Caenorhabditis elegans: one gene and its partners. Changing the gene in region 2 together with the main gene of any one other region gives a genetic interaction. Each region holds a gene or a part of one and is shown on either strand. Other genes may lie near its edges. The genes, in order: ZK512.4, act-1 and ikb-1.

Evidence for each region.
Region 1: of act-1 (region 2) and ZK512.4, changing one enhances a phenotype caused by changing the other (phenotypic enhancement), as found in Caenorhabditis elegans (one study listed by BioGRID).
Region 3: of act-1 (region 2) and ikb-1, changing one enhances a phenotype caused by changing the other (phenotypic enhancement), as found in Caenorhabditis elegans (one study listed by BioGRID).

What each region holds. Positions count from the first base shown.
Region 1 is NC_003281.10:9,143,602-9,146,557, forward strand, and holds ZK512.4 (Signal recognition particle 9 kDa protein), read left to right. Parts: upstream 1-1,738; 5' UTR 1,739-1,748; coding exon 1,749-1,825; intron 1,826-2,141; coding exon 2,142-2,295; 3' UTR 2,296-2,358; downstream 2,359-2,956. Other genes in the region: ZK512.2 (putative ATP-dependent RNA helicase DDX55 homolog), read right to left, coding at 115-398, 1,078-1,185; ZK512.11 (uncharacterized protein), read left to right, coding at 618-752, 806-1,003; ZK512.8 (uncharacterized protein), read left to right, coding at 2,482-2,577, 2,953-2,956. UniProt on the Caenorhabditis elegans protein: Component of the signal recognition particle (SRP) complex, a ribonucleoprotein complex that mediates the cotranslational targeting of secretory and membrane proteins to the endoplasmic reticulum (ER).
Region 2 is NC_003283.11:11,079,164-11,082,967, forward strand, and holds act-1 (Actin-1), read left to right. Parts: upstream 1-1,888; 5' UTR 1,889-1,909; coding exon 1,910-2,099; intron 2,100-2,147; coding exon 2,148-2,928; intron 2,929-2,980; coding exon 2,981-3,140; 3' UTR 3,141-3,252; downstream 3,253-3,804. UniProt on the Caenorhabditis elegans protein: Actins are highly conserved proteins that are involved in various types of cell motility and are ubiquitously expressed in all eukaryotic cells.
Region 3 is NC_003279.8:9,683,392-9,689,182, reverse strand, and holds ikb-1 (Death domain-containing protein), read right to left. Parts: upstream 3,786-5,791; 5' UTR 3,630-3,785; coding exon 3,558-3,629; intron 3,012-3,557; coding exon 2,888-3,011; intron 2,839-2,887; coding exon 2,756-2,838; intron 2,613-2,755; coding exon 2,365-2,612; intron 2,315-2,364; coding exon 2,232-2,314; intron 1,923-2,231; coding exon 1,789-1,922; intron 1,733-1,788; coding exon 1,463-1,732; intron 1,416-1,462; coding exon 1,070-1,415; intron 1,025-1,069; coding exon 591-1,024; 3' UTR 530-590; downstream 1-529.

The DNA of each region.
Region 1 (2,956 bases), on a different chromosome or scaffold from region 2:
TTTCAAACCGTCATAAAAATGATGGAAATTTTTTGAGGTCTCATTAAGAAATTCGCTTTTTTTGGCGAACTTTTTGTAATTCATCTTTTACTCCGCATAAAAATACGAACATACTTTTTATTCTTGAACATCTTGATATTTTTGTCCACTTTCTGTCCTCCAGTAACTGTTTCCACAGTTAAATTGAGTTTCTCTGCGAATGGTTGAATTACGCTAACGATTTGACTGCAGAGCTCTCTTGAAGGCGATAGAATAAGTGCTCCAATGTCAGCAGGCTGAAGTTTTGCATTTTGAATCATTCTCATCATTGGTAAAACGAAAGCAAGAGTCTTTCCAGATCCAGTTGGAGATTCAACGACAACATCAGACAGGTTAAGGAGATGTGTTCCAGAGAGAACCTGAAATTGGATAATTAAATAAAGATGCATTCCTACTACTTTCTACATCAAATGGCTTTTTCCTCAGCTTTGAGGAGAGCACACTCCTCCTTTGCTCTCATGTCTGCGTCTCTCTAACTCCCGATCAATATCCTTTCTCCCACCCTTCTGACCCATTTTATGCTATGCTTTTTCTTGTATATTTCAAACATTTTTATTTTATATTCTTGATTTTAGAGAATGAACAAACCGAAACAGGACTGGGGAGCGTATTATTATCAAGGGAAGCGAAAAAATGGGAAAACTCGATTAATGTTGGACGTTGTTCATCAGATGAATCAAGCAGTTCCAACATTCAACGAGTTGTTTGATGAGGTATTGGATTTTAAGTGGAAAATGTTTAATTAAAAACATTATTTTAATTTCAGGAAACTTTCTACGTGTTTGCTTTTCTCGTGGTTCTTGTGGCAGTTATATTTGTGATAGTGATGGCAAAATGCTTTAACGTTAAAATTAAAGAATACGATATCGATATAGATAGAGAATGGAGAGATATGACACCTGCTCATCCGTTCAGATTTCCTTGGGACGATGCAAAAAAGGATGCGAAATTGAAGAAGGATTGATTACTTTGGAAATTTTGGACATTTCCTCACTTGATATAATTTCACTTCGATCAAATAAACTATTATAAACTTACTTGTACATCTGTGAACGATTTGTAACTTTTATCGAATACTTCGAGCAGTTCCGGGCCGAGCTTCTCGCGGAACGTTTTCAAGGCTACTGGACCCACTTTTGATGTCATTTTGACGGCTGAAAAAAGATAAAGGTTGGGAAAGATATTTTAAACGGAGAAAACGTTTAATAAGAAGATAAATTCATTAGAAGTAATTAATTAAAGCAAACAAGGAAAATATTTAGTATTCCGTCAATTCCTATGAAAATTAGTTAATTTTCAAATACGAAAGCTGTTGAAAAAATTAGATTGAAATCTCACTTAATTATAAGACTAAAACCCATTCAAAACTATTAAGGAATAAGAAAGATTATCTAAAAATTCTTAAAATTCAGCAAAAAAAATTAATTCGAAAAGTACGCAAACACCGGCATTGCATCTCTGCGTCCAGTGCAGTGAATCTTACGACACTTGAAATGTGGCCGGCAACAAATTATGTTTTAAGCATTTTATTTAATATTAAAATTTAATAATACTATTTTACTAGTGAATTTATGAATTAATTGACTTGAATATTTTAATAATATTATTTGTTAGTAATCTCCAAAATCGTCTTTCCTTCTTTTCTGCGCTCATTACTTATTCAAATACTTCCATACTTATAAATCAAGTTTTTTTTCAGATTCGAAACAATGACATACTTCACAAGCTGGGACGAATTTGCAAAAGCTGCTGAAAGGCTTCATAGTGCCAATCCGGAGAAATGCAGGTTAGTTCGTAATATTTTAAAAAAACCGTCACTTTCGGGATTGAAAAATGTTATAGATTACTTAAATGTGCGATATTTACATAAAATAGAAAAGCGAAAGAAAATCAATTTTATCAATAATTTTTATTCGTGAGAAACATAAATTACTAAAGGATTATTTCCTGGAAAATCTTTTTGTCGATATTTCTGCAACCAACTTTTTTGTAGTTTCTTTGTTATTTATGGCATATTCAGCTGAATTTAAATAAAAATCCCCTAAAACATTCCTCATGGAGATTTCCAAAAGTTTTAGTGACAACTAAACTTTGATTTTCAGATTCGTCACCAAGTACAACCACACAAAGGGACAGCTCGTGCTGAAGCTCACCGATGACGTGGTCTGCCTTCAATACAGTACGAATCAATTGCAGGATGTAAAAAAGTTGGAGAAGTTGTCATCGACCCTGCTTCGCGGTATTGTCACTCAATAAACACGCTTTGTTTTATGTTTATGGTTTAATTAAGTATTTAAATAAAAAAAGTTTATATTTATTGAATGAAATTGTTTTTCAAATACGTGAACTTGAACTTCAACACTACAGATAGAAAAATAAACCAAAGCTTTAAAAATCAATAAATTCAGTTTGAATTTATTCCTCTAGCTTGACAAAGAAATAATGTCTCACCGGAACGATAGCTCTCGTAAGCATCGTAAATCGCGTTCAATCAAGAATGATCAACACTATCCGACAGTGTCTTTTGATGGAGCAGAGGTAATTTTATTTATTTTATTGGTGTGCGCTGTAATCCGATTTTTGGAATACGGTGCCCGGTCTCGACGCGGCAAATTGTTGTTAAATGCAAAGTGTTGTGCGCCTTTAACGAGTACTGTAATTTTGTCTAGTTGCTGCAGAATGTTTAGTGATTTTCCAACACACTATTAATTTGTTGAAAAACTAAAAATATAAGTGGTAACAATAATCGATGAAGTTTGGAGTTACAGTACTCTTTAAAGGCGCACACCCTCCCGCATCTGACAACAATTTGTCGCTCCGAGACCAGGAGCTGTAGGCAAAAAATTGCCAAGTTTCGCACCTGTATCATACAATACGTGGTTGAAAAACTTAATGAAGAAGAAAATATTTCAGTCTG
Region 2 (3,804 bases):
TAGGGCTTTCCAAGGATATATTCTTGAGAAGAAAATAGCTTCGAAAAGGATAGACAAAACCGGTCAATGTATGTTTCAATGAATGGTTTGACTTAAGCTCTTCTAACCAGCAATTGCTGTGCGGGCAGCGCAATACCAGAACCAACCCAATATGCGCTAATCGTTATACACGCCTCATTTTCTTTCTGTCACGAGGAAATCGTTAAAAAAGCAAACCTTCAGAAAAGTCGAAAGGCTTATGGTTTCTTCAAGTGAAAAGGTATCTAGACTACGATTCCTCCAGTATTTATATGTGTCATCTAATTTCCCTTGCACCTTCCCACGCAAAAATTCTTCACTAGCGTTCCAATTACTGATTGGGTCCGCAGACTTTTTTGCCATTTTCGATCCCCTATGCTGTGATGTTTGTAAACTCTTCGAAAGTATTTCTATCTCATCGAATATACCAAGAAAATCCTGCATGAGTTTCTTGCCTGCCCCCCCCCCCCCCCCACTGGTTTTTTTTCTGCTCCTCAATATCAGTTGGTACTCTCCCGATGATTTCTGAACATCTTTCCGCCCTCACAAGTGCTTGCACACATAGACCAATATCAATGAAGATTAAAAAAAAATAAATTAATTTCAAAATGTGGAAAGAAAATATTAAATAGCCTTAAAAGATGTATAGCATATGTCTGCTCAGTGTATGTTCCATCACACATGTTCGCATTAGTGCACAACGGGGTGATTTACAAGCTCTGCCTTCAATTAATAAGTATATTTTTCATTCTATTGAATTTGAAGAATTGTGAGCATGTAAGATGAATTCATTTATTGGAAACAAATATGCACTATTTTTAGATTCCGATTAATACAGTGAATACGGACCATCATATATAACTTATTATTTATTTATTCAAATACGTTAGATTCAACATGAATTAAAACATATTGTAGTTTTGTTAAAATATCCGTTTAAATTTAAAAAAAACAGTTTTATGCCAAATATAAAATACAGTCGTCTTTAATCGCATTCTACAGAAGCTATTGAAATTCCAGTAAATTGTTATTGGCTTTAATTTACCTGTGCATTATTTAGGTCATACCATTTTTACGTATTCATTAAATTTACTCATCTTTACCTGTTCGCCCATCATCTTTCTAAAAGTTATTGTTGTTTTCGTAAACCTCCCACCCTTCTCGTCATAGACAAAAAACGTTGCCACATATTTCTTCTCACCTCCTCTCTCGTGGACTCCTCGCCTTCGCAATCGGTCCGATCACTGAGAGATCGTGAGGAAATGAAGAGAAAAGGGAGGGATAAGATAGCTAGAGGGCGTTGTGGGCTCTGGCCAATACGAAGAACTTGGCAAGAGGGATGCTCCCGTGGAAAGAGGGAGTTTATGGGTGGAGTCTTCTCCCGCGGGTGTCTGGATCCTCTCTATTTCTCATAGTCACTAATTCGTTGTGTAGTCGGTGAATCCAATACGCAGAATTGTCTTTCATGGCACAGTATAAAAGCAACGGTGCCCAGTTTTACAGAGCTCACTCATCTCCACGCTTTCTTTCAATTTCTTTTATTTACTCTTCGCTATTTTGCAATAAGTTTTGAACACTTTTTTCAAATACAGCATTTTGATAAGCGAACAGATAACACCAGAGATAAGACTATCACTGAAGTTTCGAAAGTATTCCTTCCTCCATTAATGCCTCACACCATAGATAAGAATTTTTAAAATAAAAATCGTGTTCATGACTCACCCAATGTATTAGTCACGCCTTATTTGATTTTGTTTTTACCACCGCCCACCTGATGAATTGTCCCACTATATATATAATATATATTCTGCTCAATACTATCACCGTTTCCCCACGTGTTCTGTGTTATATTATCAATTTAATTTTTCAGGTACATTAAAAACTAATCAAAATGTGTGACGACGAGGTTGCCGCTCTTGTTGTAGACAATGGATCCGGAATGTGCAAGGCCGGATTCGCCGGAGACGACGCTCCACGCGCCGTGTTCCCATCCATTGTCGGAAGACCACGTCATCAAGGAGTCATGGTCGGTATGGGACAGAAGGACTCGTACGTCGGAGACGAGGCCCAATCCAAGAGAGGTAAATAATTAATACATTCGATGATTAAATTTATGCGTACTATTTCAGGTATCCTTACCCTCAAGTACCCAATTGAGCACGGTATCGTCACCAACTGGGATGATATGGAGAAGATCTGGCATCACACCTTCTACAATGAGCTTCGTGTTGCCCCAGAAGAGCACCCAGTCCTCCTCACTGAAGCCCCACTCAATCCAAAGGCTAACCGTGAAAAGATGACCCAAATCATGTTCGAGACCTTCAACACCCCAGCCATGTATGTCGCCATCCAAGCTGTCCTCTCCCTCTACGCTTCCGGACGTACCACCGGAGTCGTCCTCGACTCTGGAGATGGTGTCACCCACACCGTCCCAATCTACGAAGGATATGCCCTCCCACACGCCATCCTCCGTCTTGACTTGGCTGGACGTGATCTTACTGATTACCTCATGAAGATCCTTACCGAGCGTGGTTACTCTTTCACCACCACCGCTGAGCGTGAAATCGTCCGTGACATCAAGGAGAAGCTCTGCTACGTCGCCCTCGACTTCGAGCAAGAAATGGCCACCGCCGCTTCTTCCTCTTCCCTCGAGAAGTCCTACGAACTTCCTGACGGACAAGTCATCACCGTCGGAAACGAACGTTTCCGTTGCCCAGAGGCTATGTTCCAGCCATCCTTCTTGGGTATGGAGTCCGCCGGAATCCACGAGACTTCTTACAACTCCATCATGAAGTGCGACATTGATATCCGTAAGGACTTGTACGCCAACACTGTTCTTTCCGGAGGAACCACCATGTACCCAGGAATTGCTGATCGTATGCAGAAGGAAATCACCGCTCTTGCCCCATCGTAAGTTTTCTATTTTTGTTTCAGTTAACAAATTAAATTGATTTTTTTTCAGAACCATGAAGATCAAGATCATCGCCCCACCAGAGCGCAAGTACTCCGTCTGGATCGGAGGATCTATCCTCGCTTCCCTCTCCACCTTCCAACAGATGTGGATCTCCAAGCAAGAATACGACGAGTCCGGCCCATCCATCGTTCACCGCAAGTGCTTCTAAATGCACAACTTCGTCAACTTGCACAAACAAGTTCAAAACCATCGTCACCACCAGCTTTCTATTTCTTGTTTGCATATTTTTGTGCAACAAGGAAACATCATGCATATTTCCCAAAAAAATAAAAAACCGCCCCATTTTTGTCCTTATTGTCCTTTCACTCATTTGCGGGTGTGAATAAAAATTTAAAAATTGATATTTCTAAATTGTCTATCAGCACCATTAACAGATTCTTGAAGCACTCGCCGCCAAAAAATGTTACTGTTTGAGAAATACGTTGAAGACAGTTGCGACATGAGAGATATTTGAGTGGGCGCAGAGCGATTCCGAGAATCGCAACGTTCGTGAAGATACTGCTCGTCTCTCGAGAAAGAAAGCACACATTCCATAGTTTCTTCTTATTCCCACGGCGGCGAAAGCATCTGTTTACACAACATGCGGAGGCAAAAACGACGAGAAGCGTCGAACTGATAGGAAGAAAACAGAAAATCTTTGAACAGGAAGGGAAGTGTAGGCGGTTGTATGATAACTTCCGTACGGATAATAGTTTTAAATGTAAACAATGTTAATTAAGAACACAAACTTCTCCATTGATTCAACTCTGCGAGAAAAACGCAAACTTGTTTAAGTTTTAAGTTTTATATGTACAATAAATTAATTCTTTAAT
Region 3 (5,791 bases), on a different chromosome or scaffold from region 2:
ATAAATCAAAATTATAACGCGTACATTGAGAAGTGAAGAAACACCGAAAAAATTGACTTCACCAGCTAAAACGATATATTTTGAGCAAAAACTTATGATTTTAGTATTAATCGATAGACAAACTGGTTCTGAATTTTTCTTATATCGTTTTTATCACAGAAACAACCGAAAAATATCAAAAATTTGCTGAAAAAGAAGAAAATTTGGGAAAAAAATCGCAAAATGAGTAAGACAGCCATAGGCTACGGTGACAATTTCGTGGCGAGACCCACATGGGGCGGGACACGTGCAAGTATGCGGCGCACCCAACGCAACTGCGGCGCAGTTTATCTCATCTTTTTCATTGTAGGAAGGGGAACTTTGCTCAATTGTTTGCTCTTATGTAATTTCAGTGATTAATGTATGTATTTGTACTGAACCTGTATGAATTTCATTAAACCGGTGAATTTTCAAAAAAGTCGTGTTCATATTTTAGGAAAAAGCAACTTAGTCCAGTTTTTCGATATAAATTGCATTTTGTAAATTAATACAGGATGCATGGTAAAGTTTTATTACTGAAAACAAAATAAATAAAAACAATTCTGCGATATTCAGTAAACATAACGGGAATCAATTAATTTAACTGCATCATCTTCTGCCATTTGATTCATAGCATCGCGCAATCGGGAAATTGATGAGTCTTCAAGTTGTTCAAATTGGTCCAAAAGAATCATAGTCGGGCTTGAATCGTCTCCCGATGAGCAAATAGAAATAAGTTCCACCATGTGATCACAATTGAGTTGTTGTGCCAATCTTTGCCATTTGCACTGATCATCAAATATTTTTGCAACGCGAATTCGGGTCAAATAATCTAAATTGCAGACCGAATCACTAAGCTTCGGATTCCGATCCCATTCACTTCGACGCCTTCGTGTTCCCGACGATGTTGAGGGTCCCGGCTGTTGCTCATCTTCAGATTCAGATGTGGATATTCTCGAAACACGTGGAGCCATGGAGTCAGTTTCAGCGAGAAGAGTTTGAGCGTCTACAAAAACGGATCTAATTTCAAAAAATCTTTCAGAAAACATACCATTTAATATTTCTTCTCTAGATCTCTTCACAACTCTGTGCCGCCCACTCTCTTCACCTGGAGCCTGATCTGGATGAGATCTCCCAAATAAGGGAGATCTAGAAATAGCTAAATCATTAGGAACACCAAAAGCTTCTTTCTTGGGTAGTTCGGGTCTATCTCCATTTATAATGTTTTGAATAACACTATCTTCACTATCTGCCAAGCATATTCCTTTAGAATTTTGTCTATTCGGATCAGCTCCATTATCTAAAAGAAGGCCAATCACTGGATAGTTAACGTTTTTTACAGCCAAGCTCAATGCAGTCTCTCCAGATTCATCTTCTATATTTGTTCCTGATCCTCTCTGAAAAAATATTAAATTTAAAACAATGTTTTTCTATGTACAGTTACCTCAACCAAAAGCTGAATAGTCTCAAAATCATTCATTTCAATTGCGTGCATCAACGCATTTCTTTTCTTTTCAGTATCCAAAAAATCAATCAATGCTCCCGCTTCAATGAGCATCTCAATCAACGACAGCTTCAACCTTCTTACTGCCACGTGAATCGGTGCAAATCCCTCCGAATTCAGCTGATTCACATCAAACCGTTGACCTCTAGATGGTTCTAATATTTCTTTGAAAATTGATTCATTGTATGCATCTCCAAGATAATGTAGAGCCTGAGAAGTATTGAATAATCTACACAAAGCGAACATTTTGTCTGTTATATACTTACTGTGCTCCCATGATTATCTGATATGTCAATTTTGGCTCCATGATTCATGAGATAATGAACAGCATCGGGATCTCCAGTCCTTATAGCTACATGTAGTGCAGTAAGACCATGTGTGTTTTGTACATTTATCACTTCTGAAAATATTACCCATATGCAAAATATTGCGCCAAAAATAAGATCTCCGGTCTCGACACGACAAATTTTTGCTAAATGAGAAAAGGTGTGCACCTTTAAGAAAACTACTGTAATATCAAACTTCTGTCTTTGCAGAATTTGTTAAATATAACCTTCAAAACAAACTATGAAAATTTACAAAAAATTGTCGTGTCGTATTTTCTGCGCGAAAAAATGCGAAATTTCGCGTCTTGGTGATATAAATACTGAAGTTTTTATGCCAATTCAATCACAGGTGCTTTAAATAGCTTCGTCTCAAAACATCTTACCATTTTTAATATCGGGTGGAATCACTGAAAGTAGAAGCTTTAATGAGAAGCTCTGCCCATTCTTCGCTGCCACATGGAATACTCTGGAATAAATTATGAATGTTGTAAAGGAGAGGAAAACTTGAAATCTTACGTATTTCCTTCAATATCTTGTTTTGAAATTTGTGCTACAAAAGGCTGAAGTAATGAAATTGTGTCTCCGTTGGTGGCAAATTCAAGTAAATTGTCAAAAAGCGATATTTCCTGAGTATGCGAACGTTGGATTTTTCGTGGCAAGTATTTGAAAGAAATCGTTGTCACATTATCATTTGAAGTTGAAAATCTGAGCTCCACTTCCAATTCTGAGTCTACTTTCAGAGAAGGGACTGTGAACATTACAAGCTGTAAAACATCATTAATTATATAAGTTTTTACACAGATTTTGTTACAGATTACGGAGAATGGGTACAATTTCAATGCGAATTTTATCATTTATTGAAATTATATTATTTTTTCAGTTTTCCCTTTTACGAAACGGTCCTTACCGAATGTTTCCTAACAACATCAATTGCACTCTCTTCAAATTGATCGCCTAGAAAGTGAATTGTGATGAGTTCAGTGGCGTCTCCTGTATTAAAAAGAAAGATTTTCTTCATCCGACTGTAACTTAAACTAACCAGCACCAGAACATGTTGCCCAGACGCGATCACCAGCAGATGCTTCAATAGTTGAAATATCATCAATGAATAACCGGCGATGTTGACTTGAGGATTTATGAATTGATGATGTATGGGAATTTATCTAGACAATAATTTGATATACTTTTTTATATTCATAATTGCTCGCTTCTAGAAAGTGCTTGATTATTTTCTTATTTGGCTCATATGCCATCAGGGTAAAAATTTTAAAAACTAATTTTATAGAGTTAAAATGACCAAATATAAGTATATATCTGTTCTGAAAATTTTTGATATTTTCCACCAAAAAACTGGCGATCACACAGTTTTCGCCATTCTCAATTTTGTAATTGTACCAAAAAAAAACGTTTTTTTTCTACCAATTTTATATTTACTTTATAATTATGTTTCAAATATTTGTATTTAACCATTTTAAAGGTTCAGATACGTAACTTTGCTTTAGATTTCTCACAAAGTCCAAATGGTTGGCAAATTTGGAAATTTACCAAATTTTTGACTGGGAATTTTTAGAGTTCTTTATTATGATATTTGGTTATTTTGGAATTATATTGATTATTATATTGAATATATTGATTCATATAATTCAGTCAAAATCCTCATTGAAGCTAATATATTTTTTAACTACAGTACTAGTAGTACTACTACAAACCTCTGAGTCTGATCTCGATTTGTGAACTCCATTTTCTGTGAGATTAGCATCATTTTCATCAGCTTTAGACATTATTAGAAAATGATTAAAAAACCAATAATCAAAATGAAACGAACGAGAGGATATTAGAATGAGGGTATCCCGCGAGAAAGCTTCTCTCCAACGACCACCGCCTGCTCGACTGTGTGTAAACTCGGCAAATGCCTATGTCTCTTCAACTTTTACACTATTCGCACGATCTTTGGGTTCAAGCACTTGGTCGATCGGAAAAGAGCGCGAGGACAATCTTATGACAATCTGATGGGGATGAATGAAAATATCAGCGGATTTGGAGAGAAATAGAGAAGCACAGAAAATGATGATGTGTTCGAAATGAACTAGAATGTGATATTGACCACGAGCTTACACGTAAATATCAGACAATCTAGATACTGTGTCAAAAACATTTGTTAGATAACTCGATAAACAACTATGCCAACCTAATAATATGAGGTCATATTTGGAGCTGATCAGAGTTCTCCAAGAGATCTAACAGTGGTGTCACCTTAAGAGGAGATATAATTTTTTTTTTTAAAGATGATGCAATGGACACTTCGGAATCAAAGTAAACAAATACCCAATTGAAAGTTAAGACAACTGTATTTAAATATTTAAAAAAATTTTAATAAGGACGTTGTTTTTGATAGAACTATTAATATGTTTCTATCAAATCGAGAGATCTGCAAAAGTTCTGATTTAAAAAACCGTTGTCCAATCAGCATGGGATCAATTGTGGCAAAAATGTTAAGCTTTTCGGTTTCTGAACTGCCTACTTTTCATTGATGAATTTTTTTTCCTTTTTTTTGGAACGAAAAAATTCGCAAAAAATTTTCCCGTGGTGGAGAGTTGAACTCATGTTTGTTTGTTTTTTCTGGACCCTTTTTTTTTCTTTTTTTTTGGGACGAAAAAATTCGCAAAAAAGCTCAATTATTGTTACAATTAAAATAGTCTGCAGATAAAACATTAAAACCGCTTTGAAGTGTTTTTTTTTACTCTACGTTATTTAGAAGTGTTTCATCACACACTGTAAATAAAGCACAGATTTCTGAAATAAAACAATAAAAGTTTGAAATAATCCGAGTGTTTCTTTCTAAGTATCTTTTGCATTTGCAAACATATCGCTAGTTGGAAAGTCGAGTTTTTTTTTCAGAAATAATTTGCAGTATTTGCAAGACTAATTTTCGATTTATAGTCAACTATGACTCAGAGTTAATTGAACGGCAAATAATAACGCCAAGACAGTGTGCACTGATAAAGTGAACAATGTTTTGGTAAGGTGACGGTTTACTGTTACTTTTTTCATTTTTCATCGATTTTTTAAATGTATTCCCTGTGGAACCACTATAAAAATATAAAAGACTTGATATTGGCAAAACTATATCAACAAAACAACAAAATAACTTACCGTTTTTCCTCATTAGTATTGCACCCAATTGTTCAACTTTGACAGCTTATACTATCTCAGTAATCGTTTGTACTATTCAAAATTTGTCATCTAACAATATATTTTTTAGTTCTTTTTCTATTATTTCGTAGTTTATAAAATATTGATATCTTTGAAATGAATCGAGATATAACGTTTCAAAGTTAAGTAGCCGGTGCCATACTAATAGAGGAAATACGGTAAAATTGAGAGGTTTAAATGTCACCAAAAATTAGATAAGGGAAAGAATGATCTTTAACCAAGTCTTGCCCGAGTTTGATTTAATTTAAGCCAGGAAAGTTTGGGTAAAATATAAAAAGGAGAAGAAGCTGTCGTCCCTCAAGCATTGACTTAGGATCGCTCTCGTTCCGTTAGTTCTCCTGAAATATAATTAATAGGTACGAGGGGGTCGTCGCCTCAAATCCTCGTCTCACCCTCTTTCCACCAAATCTTTGTGTACAATTGTTGTCCCTTTTTTTACTATTTTTTGTGCCTATGCCATTTCATTATCACTTTTCGAGTGTATATTCCAGCACCAAAAATGTTACAGATGAAGTAGGTTAAGGATTTGGAATTTTGGTATTCTACCAAAATTTTAACTGAAAGTTTTGAAAAATCTGAAAAATTTTGGAATGTTTTAACAAAATATATCGTTTTTAATCACATTTCAGGTCTATTTAGAGACAATATTTCAACTGGACAAAGTTTTTGAAACTTTGGAGTTTTGCCAAAAAACATTCTTTTCTTATTTCTAATCCTTCATTATCGAGAA